7 linked regions of the Canis lupus familiaris genome follow. The protein of the gene in region 6 binds, or shares a complex with, the protein of the main gene of each other region. Links are inferred from orthologs where the notes say so. Each region holds a gene or a part of one and is shown on either strand. Other genes may lie near its edges.

What was found.
Region 1: SMARCA2 (region 6) and SMARCD1 share a complex: the UniProt entries of both Homo sapiens proteins name them as parts of the BAF complex. The link is inferred for Canis lupus familiaris from reciprocal best matches to the Homo sapiens genes SMARCA2 and SMARCD1.
Region 2: SMARCA2 (region 6) and SMARCD3 share a complex: the UniProt entries of both Homo sapiens proteins name them as parts of the BAF complex. The link is inferred for Canis lupus familiaris from reciprocal best matches to the Homo sapiens genes SMARCA2 and SMARCD3.
Region 3: SMARCA2 (region 6) and DPF3 share a complex: the UniProt entries of both Homo sapiens proteins name them as parts of the BAF complex. The link is inferred for Canis lupus familiaris from reciprocal best matches to the Homo sapiens genes SMARCA2 and DPF3.
Region 4: SMARCA2 (region 6) and PHF10 share a complex: the UniProt entries of both Homo sapiens proteins name them as parts of the neural progenitors-specific chromatin remodeling complex. The link is inferred for Canis lupus familiaris from reciprocal best matches to the Homo sapiens genes SMARCA2 and PHF10.
Region 5: SMARCA2 (region 6) and SMARCC2 share a complex: the UniProt entries of both Homo sapiens proteins name them as parts of the BAF complex. The link is inferred for Canis lupus familiaris from reciprocal best matches to the Homo sapiens genes SMARCA2 and SMARCC2.
Region 7: SMARCA2 (region 6) and DPF1 share a complex: the UniProt entries of both Homo sapiens proteins name them as parts of the neuron-specific chromatin remodeling complex. The link is inferred for Canis lupus familiaris from reciprocal best matches to the Homo sapiens genes SMARCA2 and DPF1.

What each region holds. Positions count from the first base shown.
Region 1 is NC_049248.1:42,013,975-42,018,075, reverse strand, and holds the start of SMARCD1 (SWI/SNF-related matrix-associated actin-dependent regulator of chromatin subfamily D member 1), read right to left. Parts: upstream 2,801-4,101; 5' UTR 2,786-2,800; coding exon 2,609-2,785; intron 2,506-2,608; exon of another isoform or gene 2,405-2,505; coding exon of another isoform or gene 2,381-2,404; intron 1,986-2,380; coding exon 1,798-1,985; intron 1,485-1,797; coding exon 1,442-1,484; intron 1,352-1,441; coding exon 1,229-1,351; intron 757-1,228; coding exon 634-756; intron 1-633. UniProt on the Homo sapiens protein: Involved in transcriptional activation and repression of select genes by chromatin remodeling (alteration of DNA-nucleosome topology).
Region 2 is NC_049237.1:16,013,155-16,017,226, reverse strand, and holds the start of SMARCD3 (SWI/SNF-related matrix-associated actin-dependent regulator of chromatin subfamily D member 3), read left to right. Parts: upstream 1-1,272; 5' UTR 1,273-1,654; coding exon 1,655-1,732; intron 1,733-4,072. UniProt on the Homo sapiens protein: Involved in transcriptional activation and repression of select genes by chromatin remodeling (alteration of DNA-nucleosome topology).
Region 3 is NC_049229.1:46,575,316-46,579,407, reverse strand, and holds the start of DPF3 (zinc finger protein DPF3), read left to right. Parts: upstream 1-1,292; 5' UTR 1,293-1,325; coding exon 1,326-1,357; intron 1,358-4,092. UniProt on the Homo sapiens protein: Belongs to the neuron-specific chromatin remodeling complex (nBAF complex).
Region 4 is NC_049233.1:72,430,497-72,433,996, forward strand, and holds part of PHF10 (PHD finger protein 10), read right to left. Parts: intron 2,708-3,500; coding exon 2,574-2,707; intron 2,477-2,573; coding exon 2,327-2,476; intron 1,416-2,326; coding exon 1,306-1,415; intron 45-1,305; coding exon 1-44. UniProt on the Homo sapiens protein: Involved in transcription activity regulation by chromatin remodeling. Belongs to the neural progenitors-specific chromatin remodeling complex (npBAF complex) and is required for the proliferation of neural progenitors.
Region 5 is NC_049231.1:846,729-850,228, forward strand, and holds part of SMARCC2 (SWI/SNF complex subunit SMARCC2), read right to left. Parts: intron 2,577-3,500; coding exon 2,445-2,576; intron 2,340-2,444; coding exon 2,224-2,339; intron 1,845-2,223; coding exon 1,720-1,844; intron 503-1,719; coding exon 443-502; intron 326-442; coding exon 288-325; intron 2-287; coding exon 1-1. UniProt on the Homo sapiens protein: Involved in transcriptional activation and repression of select genes by chromatin remodeling (alteration of DNA-nucleosome topology).
Region 6 is NC_049222.1:91,456,483-91,459,982, forward strand, and holds part of SMARCA2 (probable global transcription activator SNF2L2), read left to right. Parts: intron 1-243; coding exon 244-310; intron 311-984; coding exon 985-1,095; intron 1,096-3,500. UniProt on the Homo sapiens protein: ATPase involved in transcriptional activation and repression of select genes by chromatin remodeling (alteration of DNA-nucleosome topology).
Region 7 is NC_049222.1:115,598,750-115,602,823, reverse strand, and holds the start of DPF1 (zinc finger protein neuro-d4), read right to left. Parts: upstream 2,801-4,074; 5' UTR 2,792-2,800; coding exon 2,682-2,791; intron 1,312-2,681; coding exon 1,151-1,311; intron 1,059-1,150; coding exon 951-1,058; intron 1-950. UniProt on the Homo sapiens protein: May have an important role in developing neurons by participating in regulation of cell survival, possibly as a neurospecific transcription factor. Belongs to the neuron-specific chromatin remodeling complex (nBAF complex).

The sequences.
Region 1 (4,101 bases), on a different chromosome or scaffold from region 6:
CTGGACCTATATAGAGAAGGAAGCTCTGACACAGAGCCCCAGTTCTCCTGCAAAAATGCATCCAAATTAGCTTGCTTATGAAAAGCTAAAAATAGAGAATGTAAGGGAATGAAAGGTGAACTTCTGGGGTAGGAAGTTTTGGGGGCTGCCACCTGTCAGCTGATGTTCCCCATGAAGCACAGAAAACTATCCCACTGCCACTGTGAGAAGTCTCCAACGAAAGTTGCGAAGGTGGAGATACTACAGTGGGAATCGAGGACCTCCAGGACTCAGAGAGAAAAGTAGGTCTTCCAGTGCTAAGTGCAAACTCACTTGATTTTAAAGAAACAAAACCCAAAAGCTGAATAACCTGCAGATGCTAAGTCCAATGGCCAGCACCATCAGGAGGAAGGTAAACAACAAATCAAGTCCTGGAACAATAAGGTTCTCGATATGATACCACAGCGAGGGCCAGGCTGTGGGAGCGAGACACAAAGAACCATTGTCTTTTAGTGCAGGGAACACAGTGATCCTCTCCCTGCTGTTCTCAACAGGAGCTGTGAGCACCAGTCAGGATTCCTGCCAACAAGACAACACCGCTTGCTCCCAGCAGCTCCCGCCCTAGACGGCAACCACAGTGGGCTTTGAACTCACATCCTCCAGGAGCCGTCCTTCTACCCGAAGCTCCCAGGAAGCCACCGTCCCTTCCCCATCCTCGGCATCTGACTTAGCCGGGTTGAAAGTGTTAGAAATGAAAATTCGCAGCTTCCGTTTTTGCTGAGGAAGGCAGAAACAGGATTGATGATGGGGCTTCAGTGGTTTGATACTGAAGACAAGAATCTCCCCCAAACCCGCAAATTACTCCTAACAGACTGGCTTACTATCTATCCAGTCCCTGGGGTGGGTGGACAGAGATTCCATCTAGAAGAATACTGGCCCGAGTGCAAGTACATACACTAGGATGCCAAACTGACAAGAGTCATGCAAGATGCCGGGTTCCCAAGGTGCCAGAACAGTTATGGCCACAACAGGGACAGGGCAGATTTCTGGTGCAAGAGACAGCAAGGGCCCCTCCCCCCTGGCTGTTGGATTCTAATGTAATTCTCAGTTCCTAGGTTCGTAGGCGGAAGGGAGACGTAATTTAAATGCCAAGGAGAGCTGTGCTGTGCCTTTGATTTCTCATCCTAAGCCTACTGAAGGTTCCCGAGTCCTCTCCTTTGGCTCTCTGCCTAGCACTCTCCTGCATTACCTTAATGGGACGTTTCAAGGCCTCCTGGATATCTAGCCGTTTCCTCATGATAGTCTGGTCCAGCTTCCTTTCAAAAGCCAAGAGATCCATATAGGCCTGGGATTCTGGTACCAGTTCACGAATCTTAGGAACAAAAAAAGGTATCACTGGGGTCTAGAGCTGACCGCTCCTATTTTCAAACGCAGCACCTCCTCAGGAAGACCCTGGACTCACCCTTTGAGGTAGAATTTTGTCAGCCATCTTCTTTTTCTTTGCACTGTTTGGAATAAATACTGTTATCAGGTTGGGATGGAACTAGCCAGAACATGAAGACAGACTGGTCAGCACCTCCATTTATAGGAAAATGAAGGGACTGCAAAGCGCCTCTCAAATCCAAGGCACTCTGCCCACGCCCACCCCCACCCCCTACCCATGCATGCTGAAGCATTCTGAAGAATGAGCACCCATCTGCTGACGCAGCATCACCACCTCTGGGTTCAGGCTCTCCCATCACCTGTGTCCTCAAGGGCTGGCTTCCCCCCTCCTTCCTTCCCTCCCTCCCTCACTCCCTCGCCCCAGGGTCAGCTTACTTGTGGTTTCGATTTTGGACCGCCTGCTGCTGGACCTGCTGTATCTGCTGAGGTGCAGGTCTCTTGCGGGACTGGTCCATCCCTGACTGGGCCAGGCCAGGTCGGACTGAAGGGTTCCCCCCATAGCCAGGGGGTCCCATGGAAGGTCCCTGAGGTGTCATTCGGCTGCCTGGCAGCATGCCTGGTCTCTACGGAGAGGAGAGGACCCAGAGATGTCATGGCTTCCCCACTAACCCCACCGACAAGTGGGAGGTGCCGGAGTCCGCTGAATGAACGAGGCTGGGGGCGGCGGGGGGGGGGGGCGCAGTGGGGGGGGGGCGCCCCTCTGTCTCTGAAACCCGAACAACTGGAGCTTCCTGTCCTCCAGGGGCTACAGCCCCAAGGCTAAGCGAGAGCCCGACGACACCCAAACGCTCCCCAGCCTCTCTGGTATCCGACACTCGGGGTCCTCCCCGAGTCCCACTTCTGCTCGGCTGGTACCGCCAGCTCTCCTCCCCGCGGAAGCCGGCCTCCGTTTGCTAGCTACACCCGCGCTCCCCCGGGCACCGGAGCTGCCCGGCGCTCTGCCCCCTCCAGTTCTCACGTGCCCCCGCTCGCCCCGCTTCATCCGCGCGGTGTCCGCACCCCGACTCCCCAGCGGGAACAATGCTCCCGGGGGCAGGTGGGGATGCTAACCGCCTCCCCTCACCCCGACTCCGGGCCCGAAGCCCTCCCGCCGGAGGCCCTCCCACTTCTCCGCCACCCCTGTCACTCCCAGGCCCCCGCTCGGCCCCGCCCCCGGCCCGCGCGCCCCTCCTCCTGCCCCGCTCACCGGATAGGCCGCTCCGGGCATCGGGGAGCGGTACAGCCCTTGACCCGGCGCCGGGCCCATCCGCACGGGAGGCCCCGGAGTCCCGCCCGGACCCAGGGCAGCGGCCGCGCCCGCCCCTCCGGAGGCTCCGGCGCCGCCGCTCGGAGCCACAGACTGGAAGCCCGCCCGGGCCGCCATCTTCCCCGGAGCCGCTGCTGCAGCTGCACAAAGAACCGGAACCGGAACTCCCCCCGCCCCCCGCGCGCCCCCCGCGCGCCCGCCTGTCCGCCCGGCCGGCCGGCCGGCGCGGGAGGCTCGGGGCAGCGAGACTGCGGGCTAGAGGGGGGGTGGCCAGCAGAAAAGGCGTGCTGACCACTCCCTCCCGTCTTCGCGGTCCGGGAGCGGAGGCCATCGAGAAGAACTGCGGGATAGAGAGGCCGCGTGAGCGGGCGCCCCCAGGCCGACGGGAGGACGCCGAGGCCCCGGGCTCTGAGGACCGCGTCGGGATGGGGAACCTGCGCGTGCAGGCTCAGGAGGTCTAACTTTCCAAAGCGCTTTGTCTTTTCGTTTCCTTCCTACTGCCGTAAGCCTGGGGAGCCGAAGAGGAGAATGCACCGCTTATTCCATTTTACAAACCGGAAAGCCGACCTTAGTGAGTGAGTTGGCAAAGACCAACCAGCAAGTTAGCAGGAACGCCAGAGCTCAGAGCCCAGGTCTTCTGGCTCACGGCCCAGGGCTCATTCTGCAGACACAATGCCTCCGTAGCTACCTCACACCAGAATTTGAACCCAACTCTCTCCCTGACCTTAAAAAACCCAACCTGCTTCCGGATTTTAGTTTGGATTTTAACCCTGCCCCCTCCCCCGAAGAATCCTTTGTGCCAGGACTTCTCTTTAGGACTTCTCTTGCCTTTGACCTCTCTCCCCCTTTCCCTGCCCAGTAGTGGAAACCATTTCCTACTGCGATGGTCAGTCGGGCCCCATCCCAGGAGGACCAGGGAGGGTCTCCTTGCTTGAGCCTCCTGACTTCTGCACGATTGTTTGGCCCCAAGCTAAGCTCAGCTGGAGGCACTTCGTGGGAGACCTAAATACTCTCGAAGAGAAGAACGACACCAAAGAGATGGTTGAAACCCAGTTTATTAGACCAGAGGCATGCGTCACCCATAGCCCTGCCTGCTGTTCCCCATCCGGTGCACACCCCTTGGCCTTGCTTCCCTTTGGAGAGGTCTGATCTCCAAGGAATTTCTAGGAACCAAGAGTTCCCGAAAATCCCATAGCTTCACTCTCCAGCACCAGGCCAATGTACAGGTGACCTGCCAAAGTCCTGTTCTGGGGTTGGAAACCAAGAGACAGCTGGGTAGAGAAGGCCTGGGAAGGGGTAGGCCTCTGGCCTAGGAGGAGTGCCTGGGGGAGGCGGCACGACGGGCCCTCTACCTCACTTGTTTCTCATTAAGATAGGAAGGAAGGGACAGAACAGCAGAGCTTTCAACTACTCTACGCCTGTATTTTTCCCAC
Region 2 (4,072 bases), on a different chromosome or scaffold from region 6:
TAGAGCCCAAGGAAACCAGGCTGCAGGCAAAAGGACTGTAGGCAGAACATTCCCTGGGTTTTGTCTGACCTCTGAGGGCATTCTGAAGGGTTTGAGGTTCAGGACACCTCCCCCCCACCCCTCAGTGTAATTCTGGGTCTTTAGGGTATAACTTCAAATAACTTTTCCAACAAATTCCCCCAGGCATTGCCCCACCTCACCTGGATTCTGACAGGGCAGCCCCAGGAAGCACACAAACTTGACCCACTGTGGTCCCAAAGCCTTGGGGCTCTTCCTCCAGAAGGAGGAGAGAGGGGTGTGGCCATTGGGGGCCTGGGTGGTGCTATGGTTCCCAGGCTGGGGATCTCAGGATTTGTCCCTCCTTCACCCCAGGGACTGCCAGCTCTCTGAACACTGCCTCTTCTGGGGCTCCCTCAGCCAATCCCACACTTACCCCTGCTTTCTCTGGGGGTCTTGCGGCCCGCCCTCCCCTATACCCAGCAGCCCCATCACCTCTGGGTCCCCCCACCCCCCACCTCATGCCCCATTCTCTCCATCCATCCACGCAAGCACCCACCCCAGCTCCTCGCCTTCCCTCACATTCGCTGCTCTTCCTGTTCTCATGAGTCCGATCCACCTCCCCTTTCCGAAATACTTCCCCTCTTGCCCTCACTTTCTCACATAGAGACAAACAAAGACTCACATACCCAGAAATAGACTCACACGGAGCTGGAAGACACAGGCCGTGTCCTGCCACACACGCACCCGCAAGCGCGCGCACGCACCCGAGGCTCTCGTGGAGGGAGGCACACAGAGAAGGCATTTGTCTGTGCACGCACATAAACATCCACACCCACAGCCACCGAGCCATGCCCACACCAGGGTGCAGACACACACGGCGGGCGAGACAAGGGCGCACACATCTGTGGACGCGAGGGGACAGCGCCTCCCCGGGCACACCCACCGCTGTCGGCCTGGTGCAGGAGGAAGGCCTCCCCCCAACCCCCCCAACCCCCCCCCCCCCCCCCCCCGGATTCCTTCCTTCCAGAGAATGTTTCCCTACTTGGCCTGCCAGGTCTCTGGGGAAAGGGCCTCAGAAATGCAGCAGGAGCCCACTTGGGGGACAGTTGGAACTGCCTGTTCCCTGCCTGGCCCTGCCGGCGAATTCCCTAACCGAGAAACTATTTGTGGCGAGAGCCCGGGTGGCCGACGAGCCCCCCGCCGCCTCCCCTCGCGTCCCCTCCCCGCGCCGCCTCCCCGCGGCCCTCGGGCGGCCTCGGGCTGCAGTGCCGCTGCCCAGCGCCCCGGAGCCGGGCTCGCCGGCGTGCCTCGCCGCTTATCTGCGCTGTTTGGACAGCGAGGGCTGCAAAGGCAGGCGTTTCGGGCCCCGCCGAGTCAACAGGCAGACCCCGGGCCGCCGGACTATTTCTGTCTTATCAGTACAGGAATGCGGCAGCCGCGGCGGCGGCGGCGGCGGCGGCGGGCGGGCGGCGGCGGCGTGGGCCGTGGGCCGTCAGGGCAGCCCTGAAGGGGCCCCCTCCCCACTCCGCTCGAGTAGAAGTGTGAGAGAGCCCAGCAGGACTCAGAGGGGAGAGTTGGAGGAAAAAAAAAGGCAGAAAAGGGAAAGAAAGAGGAAGAGAGAGAGAGAGTGAGAGGAGCCGCTGAGCCCACCCCGATGGCCGCGGACGAAGTTGCCGGAGGGGCGCGCAAAGCCACGAAAAGCAAACTTTTTGAGTTTCTGGTCCATGGGGTGGTGAGTGGGGGAAAGTTAGCGGGGGAGGGTGAGCGAGCTGGCTCGGGCTGAATGGAGGGATGATCGGGAGGGGCCGGGAGGGGGCTCCCGCTCTCCCACCCCTCTGGCAGGGGCGCCGCGGCCCGCGGCCCAGCCCCAGCACTGTGCCGGCGCCCTGGCACTCGAACACGTCGTCAGGCGGCAGGCGGCGGGCCGGGGATGGGTGCCCCGGGCGGGGACGGAAGCTTTGCATGGGTTCTTGTCAGGGGCTGGGGGTGGGACTTGGGGACTGCCGCCCCAAGTGTGGGGGGGTTCCCCTCTGTACTAGACGTGTTGTCTTCTATTCTTTTCCTCGTGGGCCCAGGTGTTCCCCTGCCCTGGGGGTGGGGGCAGGGGACACGGCAGCGGGTGGGCTGGGTTGTCTGCTCATCCATTGGGACAGTGTCTCTCTGATTGTGTCTCTCTGAGCAAGAGGAAGGAGCAGGTGACCCTGGAGGCACTGTGAGCGGGAAGCTCTCTGCCCCAACAACCTCTGCATCCTGGCAGGAGGGCTCTGGGGCTTTGCTGATGGCTTCTGCCATCCGGGTCAGAGAAAGACCCTCTCCAGGGACAGACCCCAAGTGAAGGGGTCTGAAGATCCCCTTGGCAGACTCAGCCCCCAGAAGCCGATGTCTTTAAATCCTCAAAGGTGTGAAGGAAGGGCTGGAGTCAGGGATGTAAGGCCTAGAGACCGAAGGGGCAGGGCGGCACCTTCCTGCCAGGAGCGGACTTGGAAGGCACACAGGGAGCCCAAGGGAGCCCAGGGTGACCTGAGGGGATGGGACCTCAGGCTGAGGCAGCAGGAGCCAGGCTGGTAGAGATGTGGAAGGCAGCGGAATGGGAGAGGCAGAGATTGTTGGGCTTGGAATGGCCACTGGGGTTGGAGCTGGGTGCAGAGGAGGCAGTCAAGTTGACTATGGCCAAATTTGGTTGTGACCCCAAAGAAGGCACGTTCTCAATGAGGGAAACCAAAGTCCCTAGAATCTTGGCCCTTCTTTGGGGTAGTCCCCTTGGTTGGCACAGCTCTCTGGGGGCTCTGGAAGCTTCTCTCTCGGGGTCTCTTCAGCAGATCAGCAAGTTATCACTGGCCTTGAGGAATGGGAGAGCAGCTGATTGGGTAAAGGGGCTTTCCCTGGGGCAGCCTGTTCTCCTGTCCCAGAGATCTCTGAGGCAACTTCCCAGGGAGGACCATGTCGGTCAGCCAAGTTGCCGGTCCTAACCATGCTGCTGGTGAAGTCCCTTTAAAAAGGCCCATCTAGGAGAGAGAGGGGGCTATATGTGTGGGGGTTTTTTGGTGGTGTTTGGGTTTTGTTTTTTTGTTGTTGGTGGGGTTTTTTCTGTTTTTTTTTTTTTTTTTTTTTTTTTTTTTTTTTGCCAACTTACAGCTTCAGTTCTTGGGTGGCTGTGAGTCCCACCACTCCACTCCCAGTACCCCATCTGTGCTGGTGGGCCTGGGCCTAGGCTCCATTCTGGGCCACCACTCTGGAGATATGAGTGATAGGGTCAGGTGCGGTGGGGGAGGCAGACACACGGATGGGCAGTTTTCACTGTGGGAGAGATAGACAGAGACAGCTGGCTGGCTGGGAGTTAGGGTTAGACAAAGTGCAGGGCCAGAGGGACAGGAGGGAGAGTTGGCATTTAGAAGGAATTCACCGGGCTCAGGCTCAGGGCTCCTCCTTGTGCCTGAGGGCAAAGCAGGTAGTGTTTAAAAGGTGGCAGGGCACAGGGGCTGCATCCCTTGTTCCCGAATCTTCCTGCTCTCTTTGTCCCCATCACACCCACCCTCCACTTTTCAGCCCATTGGGCCTTCCCGGATTCCTCTTCTGGAATCTGGACAAGTGGGGTTTTCAAAGTCTGTGAAACACTTAGTGAATTTGCATTTCATCTCCATCCCATCTGAGGTGGCAAGGGAATACACCTGCCTCCTCTTGCTCTCCATGTCCCCCTCAGAGCCCTGGCTTCCTACCTCACTGGGGCGGGGTGGGAAGTGGAAGAGTTCTGTAGGATGGAACCATCTCTGGCAATGCAGGCGGACAGGAAGGGAGAGATGGATGGAAGAGGAAATGCCACTCACTCGCTCACTCACTCGCAGCCTTTGAGCTCTGCAAGCCCTCTGGGCAGCCCACCTCCAGCCCAGCTGCCTCCCATCCTGTCAGGGACTCCTGGTGGGGTGTGACCTCACTGGCTCCTGTGGCCTCCAGCCTTCACCTTGGGAGTAAATTATGGGGGGGGGGGGTGCCCCTGGGTGTGGTGACCTGGAATCAGCTGAGGGGGGTGTGGGTTGAGACTGAAGGGTGGAAAGCAGGGGCCCAGAGAGAAGGA
Region 3 (4,092 bases), on a different chromosome or scaffold from region 6:
AAGAACTGGTGGCAATTTGGCATCTTCTCTCCCCCTTTCCACCCCTCCTCCGCTATTTTAGCTATTTGACCTGATTAAACAACTTTGGGATGTTAGCCAGATTTCTGTATGCTAACGAGGCCCCTATTCATGATTTAGTGCGATTTCATCCACCGGGAGATTCCCCGCTGCCCCGTGGAAGCCTGGCTTCACCGAAGTCTCCCAATTTCGTCGGGGGTTCGCCAGTGAGGAGTTCACGCTGACTTGGAGCAGACACAGACTCTGAACGCCTCGGGTCCTACCGGATTATTCAGTGGCAAATTTTTCCACCGTGTACCTAAGTAGTGAAAGGTGACGCCAGAATCGCGTGTGCTACTCCCCGAAAGAGACTCTGGCAACACCTTCTGTCTAGTTACTCTCTTTCCTAGTAGCAGAAAGCGTTTCCAAAAAGTTTCCTTAAACCTCCTCTGTCCCCAAGCCTAAAGGTCAGAGCGCCAGGTCCCACTTGGCTCCCCGGCCGGCCGGAATCTGACCATTTCAGAAGTTTCTGGTGTGTGTGTAGATTGGAAGAGGTCGGAGTGGGGAACCGCGCACAGCGACCACCGCGCATTACGTAACGAAAGCCCTGGCTGCCGGAGGGAGCGAGCCTGACATTGAGACATTCCAGGGGGAGGGGAGTTGCTGTCCTGGAGTCGCCGGGAACGGCGGCAGCAGTTCCAAGAAACCGAGAGAGAGAGAGAGAGAGAGAGAGAGAGAGAGAGAGAGAGAGAGAAGGTGGCCGAGATAAAGAAAACACTACAGGAATGAGAATGTTAAAAAGCCTTGGACCTAGAGCATTAGCAAACTGCTGGGCACGTGTAGTAATTTGTTAGACGAAACGGCAGCCTTCCAACTTTTGCACGGGAACGAGGGGATTTGCCCTTTGGGGGATTAAAAACGTAACAGCAAAGCCAAAAGCTAATGAATGGGGTTCAGTGGTTTGTTGGCAATACTTAAATATTTCTGTCCAGGAGCGCAAACTCTCTGCAATTATTTAGAAAGTAGGGACTCAAACCAAACTAGAATACTTTCCCCGTGCGTCTCCACTTTCCCAAATCCGAAAAGGAGCTGCTCTCGCGGTACTGCCCCTTTAAGACCTGCTTGCTCTCGGGCTCTACAAAAGGGAGTGACCTCTGGGCTTTGACAGCTCCCCTAATAACTACCACCGTGCAGGCCCCGCCCATCTGGCGACCAGCAGCGCCCATTGGCCAGCGGGCCGGTATCCCGTGCTCTGATTGGCTCGCCGCTTCCCCTGAGCGAACCTTTAGAACTCTGAGACAGACAATATTCTGTTACATTGTAGCAAAATGGCGACTGTCATTCACAACCCCCTGAAAGCGTAAGTAAGACTAAAAAATGTACATATTCCGCCTGGTTTCAATATGAAAAAAAAGGCGCCTTCCGCGTGCCAAGCGCTGCCAATGCACTGCGCTTGCAGGCGCCTGCAGCCGCGGCGGGGCTTCTCTTTTCTTTCAGCTCTTACTTCTTCATCTTCTTTTTTTTTTTACCCCCAACGCGCAGAAATGTCAAGAGATGCAATTAACAAGAAGAAAATTGTTACGTTTGTGTTCTGCTTAATTGGAAGACGCACGGAGAGGGGTTTTCGGCAGGGGAGCCAGGCGCTCGAGCGCTCTACGGGGGGGGGGGGGGGGGGGAGGCGGGCGGTCGTGGGCAGCTCGGGGACTGCACGGTCCCCCGAGTGCCCGGCGTCGCGGGATGGCGAGCGCGGCGCGGGGGGCGGCCGAGCTGGGGGCGAGCGCCGGGCAGGGGCCGCCTGGGTGCACTTGGCTGCGCCCCGCGCCTCCGGAGTCCGCAGCCCCTGCCCGGCTGCTGGGTCCGCCGGGGCGAGCGGACCGTGGCAGCTCCGGAGTTTGCAGGGCGCTTTACGCCTTCCGATCGCTCGCGGGGAGTTTGTGCAAACCTTCCGGAGTTGGGAGGACCGCAGGGGGAGCAGTGGGTCCCGGGAGCCCTGGGGCCCAGGTGATTGCCCGGGGGCTTTCCTGCCGGGGCAGCCCCCCGAGCGTGACCGCGCTCCGGGCGGTCGCCGGTGTGTCTGCGTGTGTTCGCGGGCGAACTGGGTGTAGTGTATTAACGACTCGGGTTAACTTGGGGTTGATTGGGAGGCAGGGAGGCTGCAGGTCTTATGAATGGTGTTCTTGCCTCCTCTGGGTGAAAAACCGAGGCGGGCGGAGAGGCAGCTTCTGCTCCCGGCCAGAGCGAGGGGCAGGTGCCTCTGGCCGCCGCCGGGAGACTTTGAGCGGACGCCCAGATCCCGGACGCAGGGGGGCGGGCTGGGCGAGGACATGCGGGGACCAGTCCCCGGGTCCGACTGCCAATTCCTGCCTGCCTGCCTTCCTGCTCCTTTTCGTCCTGGCTTCCTTCCTTCCTTCCTTCCAGTCGATGGAAATGTTAAGCCGCCAAGTCCGATCGCGATCGCGGAGCCGCTGGAGGCTTCGGAAAACTAGCGTCGCCCTACAAGGGGTGCTATTGGCAATGATATTGGCAGAGGAGAGCTCGCTCCCCCATCGCCGCGCGACGTGGGTCGGGACTCCCGGTCGCCGCGCGGCGTGGCTCGGGGTCCGCGCCTCTGGGACCAGGACTTCCCAGCCGGGGTGGGAGCCGCGGGCGAGGGGAGGGGGAGATGCAGGTGGGGGGCGTTTCGTGCAAAATTCTCCTGGCTGTGTGGCCGATGCCCGTGCGGGTTATTTCAACTCAGCGCACCGCGCTGGCACCCCAGGCTCCTCCTGGAGTTGAAAACCACGTTCGCACCGGGGGAGGGAGGGAGGCTGCGGGGGGTGTGGGGGTGTTTCCTAGCGCAAAGGAACGCGCGAGGGTAATCGGACGTGTTTGCACCAGCTTATCTCCCATCATTAATAGGGGAAAAGGTAGTAAGGTCCCCGGTTCGGAGTTTTTTTTTTTTTTTTTAATATACATGTATTAAAGCTGCGATTAAAGCTGCGATTAAGAGGAAGCTGGAAGCTGACGCCGATCACAGAACAGCCCCCGGCTTTAGTTCTCGCTCGCAAGCTCGGATACACTGCACTGGAACGCCACAACGTTTCAGCCAAGAAAGAAAATGTTTTACAGCAGAATAAATGGGCGTAACTTCGCCGCATCCTCGCTCCCCGGTCGCTCGCGCAGCCACACCGCTGATGCTGTGAGTTTCAGCCGAACCTCCAGCTGATTTGCAGTTTCCCCATTTCCAGCCGAAATCACATAGGCAGGCTGATGCCACCTGGTAAACTCAAGTTAGAGAAATCTATTTCACATGTGCGCCAGATTTGTTTCCTACTGGGAAAGCGGTACCAGCGTTACCTTGGAGCCCGCTCACGCGCCGGCAGGCGCAATATCTCTAAACGCTCCAGGGTTTGTTTCCCTGCCGGCTCCGGTTTTTTGTTTGTTTGTTTGTTTTTGAACTGCGGAAGGGTGCGTGTTTGGCGAGGGTGTCTGAGTGGGGTGGGGTTAGAGGTGGAGGAGGGAACAGAGAAGGGGGCTGGTTTAGTGGAATTAGTCCTGAATTATTAAACTTATACTTTGTAATAATTAGAGACAGTTGCAATGACATGTTTTGTAATTCTGTGTCGACACACACACACACACACACACACACACACACACACATACACACGCGCGCGCGCGCACGCGCTAGCATACACACAACATCCCTGCCTGCCTTTTCTAGACGGGAGTTGAGTGGTCATTTTTTAATTAGCTCCTCCTTTTTGCATCCCAAACCCTTTCCCTGGAGGAAAGGGGGTGTAAACAATACCCACCCCCTCTCCCGGACGAGCCGAACCTCCTGCGCTCCGGACGGCTTTTAAACTCCTAATGCAGGAGCACACACGTTGTTATTGGGAGACCCACACCATCTGCCTTTATTTTTTGAAAACAACTTATTTAGCAAGACATCTTCTACATTTCATTTGTTTTTAAAAGTTGCTGATCAGGAAACAATACACACGTAAATAAATTATGCATGGGATAAATTAGAACAAAGCGCAGAGACACATCCAGCTAAAGGGATGGATGGTGGTGTAGGGAGGAGGGGAGCCGCGAGAATGGTTTGGAGAGCTA
Region 4 (3,500 bases), on a different chromosome or scaffold from region 6:
GCGCGGTGTTTAATGGCAGATACCGCAGCTCATCTGGTGAGTATCTGAGGATCAGAGAGACGATTGTCACTTGTCTTTTTACAATTAATACGAATGATCTAATTTGTGAGCTTTAAAGGTAGCCTTAACCTTCTCAATTAACCCCAAATACTTTTGGAAAATGACTACAAATGTAACAAATAAGTTTTCATTTTGTATCAAGTAAGGAAAATAAATGAGAAGCCTAAACGTTTTTTACACCAGGCTAAAAGTATATCATATGCATTTGATTATCAAAAGAGGAAGTCTCCCTCCTTTATCTTCAACCCAAAATAGAAAAAAAAAGTCAGCAGACTAAGGTAGAACTGTGGCAATTCAAGACTGTGCACAAAACCCATGCCTCCTGATCACTCCCACCCTCCCCTCACCCCATATCACTGCTTGTGGGTCCCCGTGGACTGCAGGACGATGCGTCCACCTCACAGGTGGATGTGATGATGACATCAGTCGACACACATGATGCACAGCAGTGGGTGGTACATGACATTATTTAAGAAATTTTTTTTAAAAACTTGTGATGCATGTACTCTAACAAATGTAATCATCACTTTTAATAATTTGCTGACCCCAAAGCGAAATTAAGATCTGCAACCCATGATTTAAATTGGACTTTCAAATAGTATGATCCTATAGTCTATTTTAAACACTGTTCTCTAAAGACCAGTCTCTATCCTCAAGAACATAAAGCTTAAAGGTGAGAGTTTTCAAACAAAAGGACCCTGTTAGCCTTATTTTCAATTACACCCAGGTTGGGAATGAGAGAGAAGCAGCCATCCCGGACAGAGTGGAAGCAGCAGCCAGGCCAGGGCAGTGACGTGGCCGGCACAACCAGGTGGCCCAGCCCGCCCTGCAGCCATTCTGCTTCCTCCTCGACATCCTCTGCAGACTGAGCCAGTGCTTCCCGGTTGGCAGGTCTGGGGTTGTGCCCGAGAGTCTGCACTCCCAATCAGCTTTCAAATGACACGGGTGCTGCTGGGCCATGAAGCACAATGTAAGGACCGAAGCACTGGTCCACCTGCATCTGCCACGGACACACGAACAGGTGCGGGCAGGGAGATGGGCAGCTCCAGCTTTGTCGGCAGATGTTTACGTTGTGGCTGAAGGGTGTTCTTCACTGATGAACCACAGAAAACAGGATACTGGCCCAGATCTCACACAACATCTCAAGGTGGTACACACAGAGCTCAACTCTTTGGAGGCAAGTACACAAGACTCTGCAGTCCCCCAGCAGTACCCAATAACGATGGTAATAAAACCAATGGATACCTTTTGTAGTATTCCTGGAACTGTCCGGGGATGAGGGCCACTGGGTAAGAACTGACCTTGGTTCTCTCAGTTGGTAACACTTTGTACTTCCCCTGAGGCACCTGGATGACCTGGGTTGACGTGAAGAGAAATACGTAAGTGATTCTATGCTGGGAATCCAGGTCCTAGGAACACAATCCTCCTGTTCTCCACCATGCTCCTTCCCACAAAAGGCTAAAAACACAGGAGACATTAGGAACTAAAACCCAAGGGGACAGTGGGGAGGTTTCTAGCCACACAGGTGAAGTTTATCTGGCTCTTCACCACAGCCAGCACTTCTGAGGGAAAGGTAGCCTGCTTCTGTTCACCAATGGCAAGAGCAGCGGGAGCTGAGCAACACATACAACGTCCTCATCTATGAAATGAGAACAATACTAGTTTCAACCTCACATGGCAACTGTGAGAATTAAGTGAATTAATATGAAAAAAATTTTTTTTAATATTTTTTATTTATTTATTTATGATAGTCACACACACAGAGAGAGAGAGAGAAAGAGAGAGAGAGAGAGAGAGGCAGAGACACAGGCAGAGGGAGAAGCAGGCTCCATGCACCGGGAGCCCGACGTGGGATTCGATCCCGGGTCTCCAGGATCGCGCCCTGGGCCAAAGGCAGGCGCCAAACCGCTGCGCCACCCAGGGATCCCTGAAAAAATTTCTTAAAACAACCCTTGGACAAGCAGCCACTATGATATACACCTATTAGTCTCATTCAGGAGAAATGTCAACCACAGAGCAAAAGACACCACTCTCACATATATACACACACACAGAAGTGAACAGAGCGTTACTAGCACATCATTAAAAATTATATCCTAAATTCTGGAGCAGGAAAGGACACATCGCTGGTACAAAAAACAAATACAAAAAACAAAACAAAAAAAACACACCACAATGGCTAAATAAAATAAAGGAGATACTGAGCACTCTACCATGACAAGCAATTAAGTGAGGTTCGGGAACTAATAAAGTTAAGCAATCCTACGTGTGTCTGTAAGTCAAAATAAGCTCTTCTTTCTTCCATACGTTCCCGGTTTAAGTTGCTGTTAAATTCAGCTGCTTTTTTGGCAGCTTTCTTAATATACTCAGGCACTTTGCTGGCTTCAACTTTCTGAGTATTCTGTTGTTGCATTTGCTGAAATAAAAATATTACAGTTGGAAGTCACATGTAACTTTACAAAATGTCATTCTCCCCAAACCAAATAAAAGATGCTAGTCACCTCAATACTTACAGAATACTCTTTATAATGATCTGTAATTCGCTGACGTTCTTTTTCTTGTAAAATAACAGAATATTCAGCATGTTTGGCCGGATATTCTTTTATCATCAAATCAATCACTTCATCACTACGCAATGCTGTTAAACCTATTTCAGACAAAAGAAAAAAATAATAAAAAGCTCTTTTAAGGCTAAGTGAACAAAACTACTTATCAAAATTTGCTTTTCCTCCAAATTACTCTACATTTAGAGATCCCTGGGTTTAGCACCTGTCTTCGACTCAGGGCATGACCCCATGGTCCCAGGATCGAGTCCCGCATCAGGTTCCCTGCATGGAGCCTGCTTCTCCCTCTGCCTGTGTCTCTGCCTCTCTCTCTGTGTCTCTCATGAATAAATAAATAAAATCTTAAAAAAAAAAACCATAAACCACTCTACATTTAAAGTTTTCTAGTAGTCAAAGGAAAATATATTAGAAAACAATAAAAAACAATATTCATAATATAAGTCAAACAACTTTTTAAAAAGCTCATAAAATTTGCAAAGGAAAATAAATCAGCTGAGTGAAGTAAGTAAGTCAGTCGGAGAAGGACAAACATTATATGTTCTCATTCATTTGGGGAATATAAATAATAGTGAAAGGGAATATAAGGGAAGGGAGAAGAAATGTGTGGGAAATATCAGAAAGGGAGACAGAACGTAAAGACTGCTAACTCTGGGAAACGAACTAGGGGTGGTAGAAGGGGAGAAGGGCGGGGGGTGGGGGTGAATGGGTGACGGGCACTGGGGGTTATTCTGTATGTTAGTAAATTGAACACCAATAAAAAATAAATTAAAAAAAAAAGTTAAAAAAAAAAAGGAAAATAAATCAATCTTTCAACCAAATATTTTTTTTAAGATTCAATGTACTATAACACATATCCCTTTATTAAAAACAATGGCT
Region 5 (3,500 bases), on a different chromosome or scaffold from region 6:
CCTAAAAGTATGGAGGCCGCTGGACACTCAGCATTCCCATTATGCCCCTGGCAACCCTCTGCTTCTCCCACACCCCGGGAAAGTGGGAACTAATGATGCCATGGGAATGGACTGTTAAGGGCCCCAAGACCTAGAAAGGGTCAGAGTTTTGAGTTCTGAACAACAGCTAAAACTAGACTAAGGTGGGAAAACCCTAGGCAGTAGAAAGTTCTGGGTAGAAGGAACTTTAGAAGCGCAAATCCGAATCCCATAGAGAGGTAGAGAGGGCCTCTCTAAACTGGCTCCACCTTGCCCGTGGTCTCCATGCTTTCATCCTCCTGTTCATCTGAAAGAGAGAGTGAGCAAATCAGGAGTGGAGCCTCCAGAGCAGCAGCAAGAGTCCTGCCCTCTGAAAAGCCGTGGCAGGCTAGGGGAAGCGGGCCGCAGAGCCTCCTCTCCTTACCCAGGTCAGTCATGGTGCCTCCTTTGACCGGGGCAGACTCTGAATCCTTCTTAGTGTTGACTGCCAGGAGAGAGAGTCATTTTATCAGACAGGGTCTGCCCGAATCAACTCTTTAACTCTCCACCTTTAACAATTCTAAGAGATCTCTGATCACAAAAAGGGTTCGGTAACTCCCTCCAGGCACAGTCATTCTGGGGCTTGAAACTCAACTGCCACTTTCCCTCCTTCCCCTGCCAAACGGTCACTTAACTCTTCCTATACAGAAGCATCTTCCACTCTACGGACACTCATCAAGCATTCCTGTCTCTAACAGGCCCCTCTTATCTCCATCTGTGTGTCTGTGAACTCTTAATGGATTGAGACAGAGTCTGACCAAATCACTCTGGAGAGGACTGGTTGGATCGCCAACATTTTTGAAAGCAAGGGGGCTTCTCTTAACCGAATCCGTACACAACAGCTCAGGAGAAAACACGAATATGGAAGAGAGCCGCCGTGATTGATGAAGGGGGTTGAGGCCAGCACTCCTCTCTCTCAGTAGCCCCCACCGCAACCCCTGAAATACACTCCTTGACATCGGAGCTCGTCTATGGAATACAGATCGCAGTCCACCTTTGCAGCTATACAACTCTCTATCATTGCAAAGCAATGGTCTCCAAAGTGGGGTTCTCACACAGGACGGCAAGAGATGGTCCAGTGGAATACAGGTAGAGAATAACAGAACTTCTCTTTATATTTGTTTTTTTCAGTTTATCCTTTACATTTTCCCATTTTTTAGATAATGTTTGCATGTGTCTCACGATGTTCCTAAAGCAACGGTACAGCAGCACATATATAACTCATGCTCAAGGGGCACCCAGGTGGCTCAGTGGTTGAGCATCTGCCTTCGGCTCTGGTCATGATCCCGGGGTCCTGGGATCGAGTCCCACATCGGGCTCCCTTTGTGGAGCCTGCTTCTCCCTCTGCCTGTGTCTCTACCTCTCTCTCTCTGTGTCTCTCATGAATAAGTAAATAAAACCTTTAAAAATAATAATAATAATAATCTGTGATCAAATACTTTACTGAAGGGGGTAAGTGATCAAAAACAGTTCAGAAACAACTACTGTCAGGTACAAGCACAGTACACAACTCAGATGTGGCTCAAGTCAGAGGACTGCCCATGTTGAGAATAATTTTAATAAACAGCTAAATTGAAGGGCCAGATCCTCAAGACCCGGAGCTCGGCCTGGGAAATCAGCCCTCTAGGAAGGTAGGTCCCCGAAGCTTGGTGTGGCCCGTACCTGTCTTAGGTAACGTCACCTCCTCTACATTGGGGACTGGTGAAGGCTCATCCATGTCCTTTGTCAGGTCTTCTTGCTCCTCCTCTCTGTGCCCACGCTTTGACTTGGTGTAAGGTGTTGAGGGACTGGGGAGGAAAGGGGAGGAAAGGTAATGAAAGCTAACCTGGTCACCCTTAAGCAAGGAGTCCCTGGAAGCTGAGGTTCAAGGGGAGTAAAGCAAGAGAGAATCCCCAAGGGGGAGCTAAGCATGCATAGACATGCATCACTACAGAGGACAGGGAAGTGCAAAGGTCTTCCCTTGAAGATGTCACTCTGAGGTCACTAGTGGCTGCAACTAGAACTAACAAGTGGGCAGCTAAAGAAGACCTCACCCTCCCTCTCAGGACACCTACAGGAGCAGGGCCGACCCCAGTCAGGGCCAGGTAGTCACAGGAAGGAGTCTATCCTTCCTTCCTTCAACATGGAGAGAATGGTGAAGGTGGGGCAGGGTAGCGGCTGGCATACCCTTTCTTGGCATTTTTCTTCTTAGCTTCTGGGGTTGGTGAAGGAGAGGGGGAGCGCTTCCTCTTTTTATAGTTGCCCCCCTTCTTGTCCCGTCGATCTGAATCTGGGCTGTTCACCTGCAGGTTGGAGAATTGGAGTGAATGTCAGCCAACAATCCCCACTGAAGACTTATCCCCATGCTTGTGCTAAGGGATCAGGGAAGAAAGAAGAGGAAGTTTCACCTCATCCGTCAGAGTCTTGGCTGAAATCTTCTTTCGGCGGGAGACAGGGCTTTTATCATCATTTACTTCATAGTCTTCCTCATTCATCCATTCATTGAAAGTGTCTGTGTCCAGAATCCACTTTGCATGAACCTGAAGTACAAAAGGCAGACTGTGCTGGAGAGAAGCCTGAAAGCCACAGCTGTCTGTGGGTCCCCCCTTTATAAGATCTTGTTTATTTATCTGAGAGAGCAATTGCGAGTGTAAGAGAGAGCACAAGTGGGAGGGAGGAGCAGGCTCCCCGCTAAGCAGGGAGCCTGATGCCAGGCTCAATCCCAGCACCCTGGGATCATGAACTGAGCTGAAAGCAGACATCCAATCAACTGAGCCACCCAGGTGCCCCTGTCTGGGGGCCCTTAAGAGAAGAGCTGAAGGAGACAAGAGCCTGTGCTTGACCTCCAAGGAGTGGTCTGGTCCCAGTATACATCTTTTTTTTTTTTTTTTTAAGATTTTATTTTATTATTATTTTTTAACTATAAAGTTTTTTTTTTAAGATTTATTTATTTATTTGTTTATTTATGAGGGGGGGGGGCAGAGACACAGGAGGAGGGAGAAGCAGAGAGAGGCAGAGACACAGGAGGAGGGAAAAGCAGGCTCCACACCAGGAGCCCAACGTGGGACTTGATCCCGGGACTCCAGGATCGTGCCCTGGGCCAAAGGCAGGCACCAAACCGCTGAGCCACCCAAGGATCCCCCAACTATAAAGTTTTGATGTAAACTCTAAACTTCTTGAAGAAACTTTATTTATTTATTAGAAAGGGCAGAGAGCCAGTATGAGCAGGGGGTAGGGGCAGAAGGAGAAGGAGAGGGAGAAGCAGGCTCCCTACTGAGCAGGGAGCCCCACAGGTGGCTGGGTCCCAGGATACAGAGATCATGACCTGAGCCAAAGGCAGACACTTAACTGACTGAGCCACTCAGGCACCCCTAAAAAGATTTTATTTTTAAGTAACATCTACACACAACACAGGGCTCAAATTTACAACCCCACGATCAACAGTTGCATGCTCTACCAACTGA
Region 6 (3,500 bases):
ATTTTATTTTTTTCTTATGAGATTTCTTATGAACTCACACACACAACTTGTCATGCTTTGGGGGCAGCTTATTCCCCACTTATCTCTTATTTCCACACCTTTCAAAGAAGTATGTAGTTGAAATACTTAATATTCTCTTGCCCCTTTCCAGGTGAGGCCTGAGCATAAATAAGAACATCTTTTTAACCACTGATTTTTATGCCAATGTCTTTTTCTCTGTATGTTTTCTTTTTTGTTCTATAGGACTCTATCTAACTGGACATATGAATTTGACAAATGGGCTCCTTCTGTGGTGAAGATTTCTTACAAGGTTTGGAATGCTTTATTTATATATAAATGTGGAAAAGCAAAAAATAGACCCAATTTTTTTTCTTCCTCCCATATGCACATCTGTGAACTGTATTTGGTTGTAAAGTTTTGTCATGTACATCATGTACCAAACACTGTGAGTTAATCATCCCAAGAAGATTACTGTAATAAACCATAATTACTTTCAGATAGTGAAATGCAGAAGAAAATTGTTAATTATCATATTGCGAGGTTTCTGATGAGAGTAATACAAATGACAAATATCGCACATCCCTCGCGCCGTGCCATGCCCGCTGTTCCTGCAAAGTTCGGCAATTACCCGGGCACCCGGGCTGCCTGCTGCACGCTCCCGTAGAAACGGAGCCTTTCAGCCGAGCAGCGGGTTCTCTGCTACCTCGAGGTTGCTGTAATTTCCTTCTCCGGCTGTCCCCTCACCCTCAGTTTTCAGTGGGAAAGCCTGCCTGTAAAGGGCCTGAAAAGCATCCAGATGTGTGCGATTTTGCCAAGCACTTTGTCGTGGATAATGGATCTGTGTATGATAATGCGTAGATGTGCAATCCTCAGTCGTGTGTCTGGGCTCCATTAAGCCATGAATAGTGAAGCAAAATGTACACATTACTTCCTTTGGGTAATGTATATGCCTACATATATATATATACACTTTTTTGCATTCAGGGCACCCCTGCAATGCGTCGCTCCCTTGTACCCCAGCTGCGGAGTGGGAAATTCAACGTCCTCTTGACTACTTATGAGTACATTATCAAAGACAAGCACATTCTTGCAAAGGTAGGTTTAAAAAAAAAATCTTTTACCTCTAATTATGGGACCATTGCACTGGAGTATAAAGTATTCCCCAAATTATACTCACTGGTATAATTTGATCATTAGATGGCCTCTCTCTCTCTCTCTCTCTATTTTCTATCTCTTGCAGAGTCAGATATATATATATATTTTTTTTTGGTTTTTCTTTGTGTGTGTGTGTGTGTGGTTTTTTTGTTTTTGTTTTTATTATTTTTTTTTTTTTGCATATGTCATTGATTCTGGTTCTCTAACCTAGCCTCTCACAGTTACTGAGTTTATGTCTCTTAAAAAAATTCACCTGGGCTCCTTCTGCAGCTCTTTTTCTCTCCAACGGCCCTGAACGTGCTTGTGGAAGAAATAATTGTTTTTGTAGCCCTGGGTTATTGTCAGCAGCATGACTTCATTCCTCTTGTGCCTTTGTCTCTCCAACGATGAGTAGGCACCTCTCCATATGGTCTTCTCCATGTGAACATTTGTCCAGGCTGCAGCTTTGGTGCTATTCCTGTCTTAGGTTTTTTCCCTGGTAAAATAATGGGCCATTGTTTGGATTACTCCAGGCTGTTTCTGTGACTATTCACTTGAAGCTGAGAAAAAGTTGTTTTCTACCTGCAACATACATGTCTCCTAATTTGTACGTTCTTAAGTTGTCCTTTGGCCAGCAAATAGAAAATTTTTTTTTTCATGTTTATCACCTTGCCCCCTAATGCATTCATTCAGAATACCTTCTTTGGTGGGGCCAGACACAGATACTTCATTTTTCTTCCTCCAGTAATTTCTTTTGCCCCGTGGTGTTCTGGAAGTGCCATAATCTGAAACGAAGTGATGGCCAGAACTGAACAGAATAGCTGTTTCAGGGATCTGTTCTCTCTCTGCATTAAACCTTTGCTCAGGGAACTGAGAGTTCCCTTCATGGCATCACAGGAGATAACATATAGGAAGTGTGCTCCCAGGAGAGGTTTAATAATTGAGATGGCACTGGCAACAATGCTGTGTTCCTGCTCCTCATACTCAGAGATGAATCTGGCAGTGTTGAAAATGACATGTTTTTCGATATTACTACGGGAATGTGTTTGTACATTCGAGATCCTTTAAAAAAATCCTATCACATCTTCTGCATATGTATTTCAGAACTCATCGGAGATGCCTGGTAGTGAGATGAATTGCTTTTATGTGTTGCTAGAGAAATGAAGCTATAGAAAGGGGTAGTGATATTTTGTCCAAGCGGAAGACCCAATTGGCAAAAGAGTAAATTAGCAGAATCGAAGTCCTCTCTGATTCCTTCTTTATTAGATCGTAAGCTGAATTAGGAAAGTAGATGTAGACTGTTTGCTTAAATACATTTTTATCTGCTGGCCCCTTCTATGCTATTGGTAAGCTTGGGATAATTGTCCATACAACTTCATGCTTATGAACACTTTTCTTAGAAATGGTGGAGGAAGAGTAAAACAAAACAAAACCCAACAACAACGCTATGGTAGTTTCTTTTGCCCAAACATCTCAGCCCAACTGAAGATTTTATATTTCTTTTCCCCCGATTTCACTGTCACTTGTAGTGAGAAAGGCAGGGACCATCTAGAATACTCTGCTAGTCTCTCTCTCTTTCTCTCTGGGAGCTTTGGAGCAGGATCCGGGGACATCTGAGCACCAGATGCTTTTCTTGGCCATTGCCACTGTTTTGTAGGGAATGAATAGGCTTAGTGGGACATTCCTCATTGTTCTCACTTAAAGAATCTGAGACCAGTGACCTTGAAGAGGGCTGAAGGGTGAGTTATGAGAGAGGAAGGGGCCTGCATGTAGACTTAGGAGGGAAGATTATGTCATATGGCCATTCTTTATTTTTCAAGTGGTAGTCATGCTAGGAAATGAGATTGTGTTTAATTCCAAAGTTCTGGCAAAAACAGAGGAATGATATTTTAGCGTGGTCTTCACTGCCAGTGAGTATATGCTTTCATTTTAGACATCTTAAAACAGTGATCCTAGACCTGGCAGGTAAGGACCTGGCAGGTAAGGCATATGTCTGAACTGAGAGACTCCAGGTTGCCAGGCCTTATTTTTTTTTAAGAGAAGCTGAATGTTCAGATTGTTATGTGAAGTATTCCAACTTTTAAATGTTAGCAACTCATTCAAATTAAGAAGAAAAAAAAGAACACTGAGCTGAGCCAAGCCCTAACCGTATAACAATAGAAGCAAAGGCATGAAGCCAGAGCATCTCAGCTATGAGTACCGACTGTCGCCATCTTGGAAGATCAGTCATTAACTTCTGCTTCAAGTGGAGAAGCAGAAAATCTGCTCTTCTATTCTTGCTATGAGCAGAGGCAGCACGAGCTCTACATCCGGTAGAGCCATCATGGTATGCCATCAATAGAAGGAGTATTGGTTGCGGAGACACG
Region 7 (4,074 bases), about 24 Mb from region 6:
CCTTGGATACACCCGGAGACAATCAGAAAGGGACATTAAACCATCAGCTCAACCTAGATCCACATGAGGAAGACGCAGCCAGACCCTGCCATACACCTGGACACACACGAGAGCGAGACAGACATACCTAGAGGGAATCACTCAGATGGATACACAAGGGGGAGGGACACAGTCCCTCTGAGGCAAACAGACACACCCAGAAAGACACAGATGGACACATAGTGTCCAGATGGACACTTCAATACACCTGGACCCACACAGACCCTTGGATACACCCGGACAGGAGAAGAGAAAGAGCCAGCGACTGTGACACTACTGGTCACAGTCAAAAGGTCATAAAGCCCAACACTCTGGCCAGACGAGCACACGTGGGCAGAAATATACGTAATACTCCAGCCACGAAGGGCTTCTCCCAGACATCCCAAAGCATCTGGACACTCAAAGGAAGAGACACCCAGACGCCCTGATACACCCAGACACACTCAGGATACCCTGCTAGACCAGACACACACAAGACTAAATAGCCCCTCTAGTACTCTTGAAAACACCTAGAAAGAGACACAGACACTTTGATATGCTCCCCTACGGATGGAAAGACACCCGGACACATCCAGACACACATAGGAGGCACCCATAGGAAGAAAGCCAGCGGGACCCTGATCCATCCCAGCTCGCCAGGGAAGGTACACCCAGGCACACACGAAACAGATACCACTCTGCCCACGAATACACCTGGGCCGGAGGAGAAGATACAGCCCAAGTCCAAAGCCCAGTCACTCGGGGGGAACTGGAGAACGTCTGGACTACACCAGACGCACACCTGCAGACAAGCGCTGGGAGGGAAATAAAGGCAAATGCTCAGACCTGCAAGGGCCTCACCACACACGCATGAGCGGGTGCTGGGGGCACTGATGGGGTCCCCCCCAGGCCCAGGATGAAGCTCCACCCACCGATCTTGTACTCGCAGGGCCGCAGTCTGGGGTCCTCCAGGATGTTGAGTCTCCGTTTCTTTCTCCAACAGCGCGCCGGGTACGTGTAGATCTGTCCGGGGGCCAAACCTGGAGTGAGAAGCGCGAGGGGCCGTGAGAACAAGGGGAAGGCGGCCCGCAAAGCCGCCGCCCCGCCCCGCCCCCACCCTCCGGGCCGGTACCAGGGCCGCGGTGGGTCTTTTCCATCCAGATGTAGCAGTTGTTCTGGGCCACGCCGGTCTGCGAGTCGAGGAAGGGCAGGCGCAGGCTGCGCTCGGCGCACAGGCGCGCGTTGTAGCTGCGGCAGTGCTCAATGGCCTCGCGGTAGAAGTCCTCGCCTAGGCTGCGAGGGGGCGAGCGAGCGGGCGAGTGGCTGTCAGCAAGGGCGCGAGCGCCAGGTGGCCCAGCAGCCCCCCTCGGCGCGCCCCTCGGGAGTGGGTGGGCCTACTCTCCCAACCTCCCCTCTCCCCCCTGTGCCTCCGGGACTCAGGCGCCCCCAGCCCAGGGCCCAAGCAGGCCTGGAGCCAACAGGCAGATAGATACACACCATACAGAGACGGACAAAAATACACCAGGACCCATCCCTACAGGCACGCGTCAAAATACTCAACACAACCAAACCACACAGGATTCACACACAAAGAGAGACATATCCCAAAACTCACAAAGGAGAAACAGACAAACCTCACATATGTGCACACACAAATATCTACTGAGAAAATACAAACATCGCCGTCCCATAGTGTAGAAACAGACACATCCCACATATATCCATGCACGAATACACCTCACATATCCAAAGACACACAACATAAACAAAGCACCCGCACAAAGACACACAATGTGCAGAGATCACACACACAGCACTACACACACATACACGCATCCAAAGACACACAGTGATACACAAATATTATGAGAAGAATGTTAAACTACCCACACATGCACTTATATACCCAAAGACACAACACAAACAAATTACACACACACACTCACACACACACTATCCAGACAAACTATACAAAGAAATCACACAGATTCACACAGGACACACACACAATCACAAAGATACACAACATAGAAACCAACATCTAAAATACCGCATATCCACACAAAGATACAACACAGAAACAGACAAATCCACCCATATTCACACAAAACTGTACAAATACATGCATGCCTACAAATCCAGACACAGAACACAAGCGATGCACAGTTCCAAAGGACATGTACGCACACTCAAAGACCCAAATATCCAAAGATACCTAGTGTAGACTAAAATAAATTAAACACATATCCACACACATATCAAAAACAAACAAACAAGTGACACGCACTCCACATGCCAAGACAAAGGTAGTGTGGACTTCACTCAAGTTTCCCAAGCCTCCCGCACCCCCAGACCGTTTCAGTCTCTCCCCAACCCCGGGGGTCGCCGGGCGGGACGTGACCCCCCTTCCCCCGAAGAGGACCCGAACAGGACTCCGAGTCCCCCACACCCTCCGCTCCTCCAGGAGCAGCGCATCGGACCCCGTTCTTGCCAGGGACCCACGATCACACACATCCGCACCCCCGCGCAGCACGGCCCACGGTGACAGCCCCCCAGACACCCCATCGGCCCCACCCCCGGCCGCCACACACGCACACACACACGCGCGCGCCCGCGCAGACCCGCCCGCGCGCCCTCTCCCGCCTCCCGCCGGCCCGCGGCACCTCAGGGGGCCGGGGATGACCGTGGCCATCTTGCTCCCCGGGTCCTGCCCCCAGCAGGTCCCCGCCGGGTCGGTCCTCCCAGCGCTCGGGCGGGCGCTGAGGCCGCCCATCCATTCATTCCCGCGGGGCGGGAGCACCGGGGCCACAGCCAATCAGGACGGCAGGGCGGGCCCGCCCGGGCCATGCTGGGAGTGGTAGTCCGGGCCGGGGGCCGGGCGGGACCCCGCGGGGCAGGGGGCAGGGGGCAGGGGGCAGGGGGCAGGGGGCAGGGGCGCGGCCCCGGGAGCGCGCGCGGTCACTCACGCGGCCACTCACGCGCGCCCGCTCCCACGCGCCCTAGCGTCCCGGGCACACGCTCCCACGGGCACACCTGGGCTCGCACACACCCACCTACGGCAGTTTACACACACATTCACACGTATACTCACAGCCTCCCACGCAGACTCACGCACACTTCCCTCCCACGCCTTCACAGACTCACATACATTTACACTCACACGAACACTCCGAAGCCATGAGACTTAGAGATACCCTGGAGGGGCCCGCACGGGCGTCCCACCCGCGCCTGCGCTCGCCTCACCGACACCTCTCCCTCCCGCATCCCCAGGCCCTCCCGGCTCCCAGCGCCCGGCCTGTCCGGTCCCCGGGCTGTCCCCGGCACGGTGACCCCGCGCGGGCGAGCCCGTCCTGCCGCAGGCCGGTCGCCAGTAAGGAGCTGTAGCCGCACCTGGCGGGTTCGAATCCCGCCTCTGCAACTCGGTGGCCATGTGGCCTTGGGCAAATGACTTAACTTTCCTGGGCCTGTTTCCTCACCTGTAAGATGAGGATGACACCTCATTGGATTGTTGTAAGGATTAAATGAGTAAATAGAGTGTTTTTAGTTTTAGTTTTTCCACATCCAGCAGGGAGCCCACCACGGGGCTTAAACTCACCACGGAGAAATCAAGACCTGAATTGAGATTGATTCGGAGGCCTAACCCATTGAGCCACCCAGGTGCCCCCCCATATAGTGTTTTTAAAAGGTACCCGGGGTGGGCAGGGGGGAGATGCCAGCGTGGCGAAGCAGTTGAACGTCTGCCTTTGGCCCAGGGCGTGATCCCGGGATCCAAGATTGAGTCCCACATCCAGCTCCTTGCAGGGAGCCTGCTTCTCCCTCGGCCCCTCTGTCTCTCTCTGTGTGTCTCTCATGCATAAATAAATAAAATCTTTAAAAATAGATGAATAAAATAAAAGGCACCTGGCAGGTAGTAGGTTCAGTAAATCCACTCCATCAAGGAGATCGGATATGAAGTCAGGTGTAAAATGGTGCTAGCCAACCACTACCAGAAAGAATAATGCCTGGCCCATAATAGATGCTCAATAAGTATTTGTTGAATGAGTAAATAAAAATATA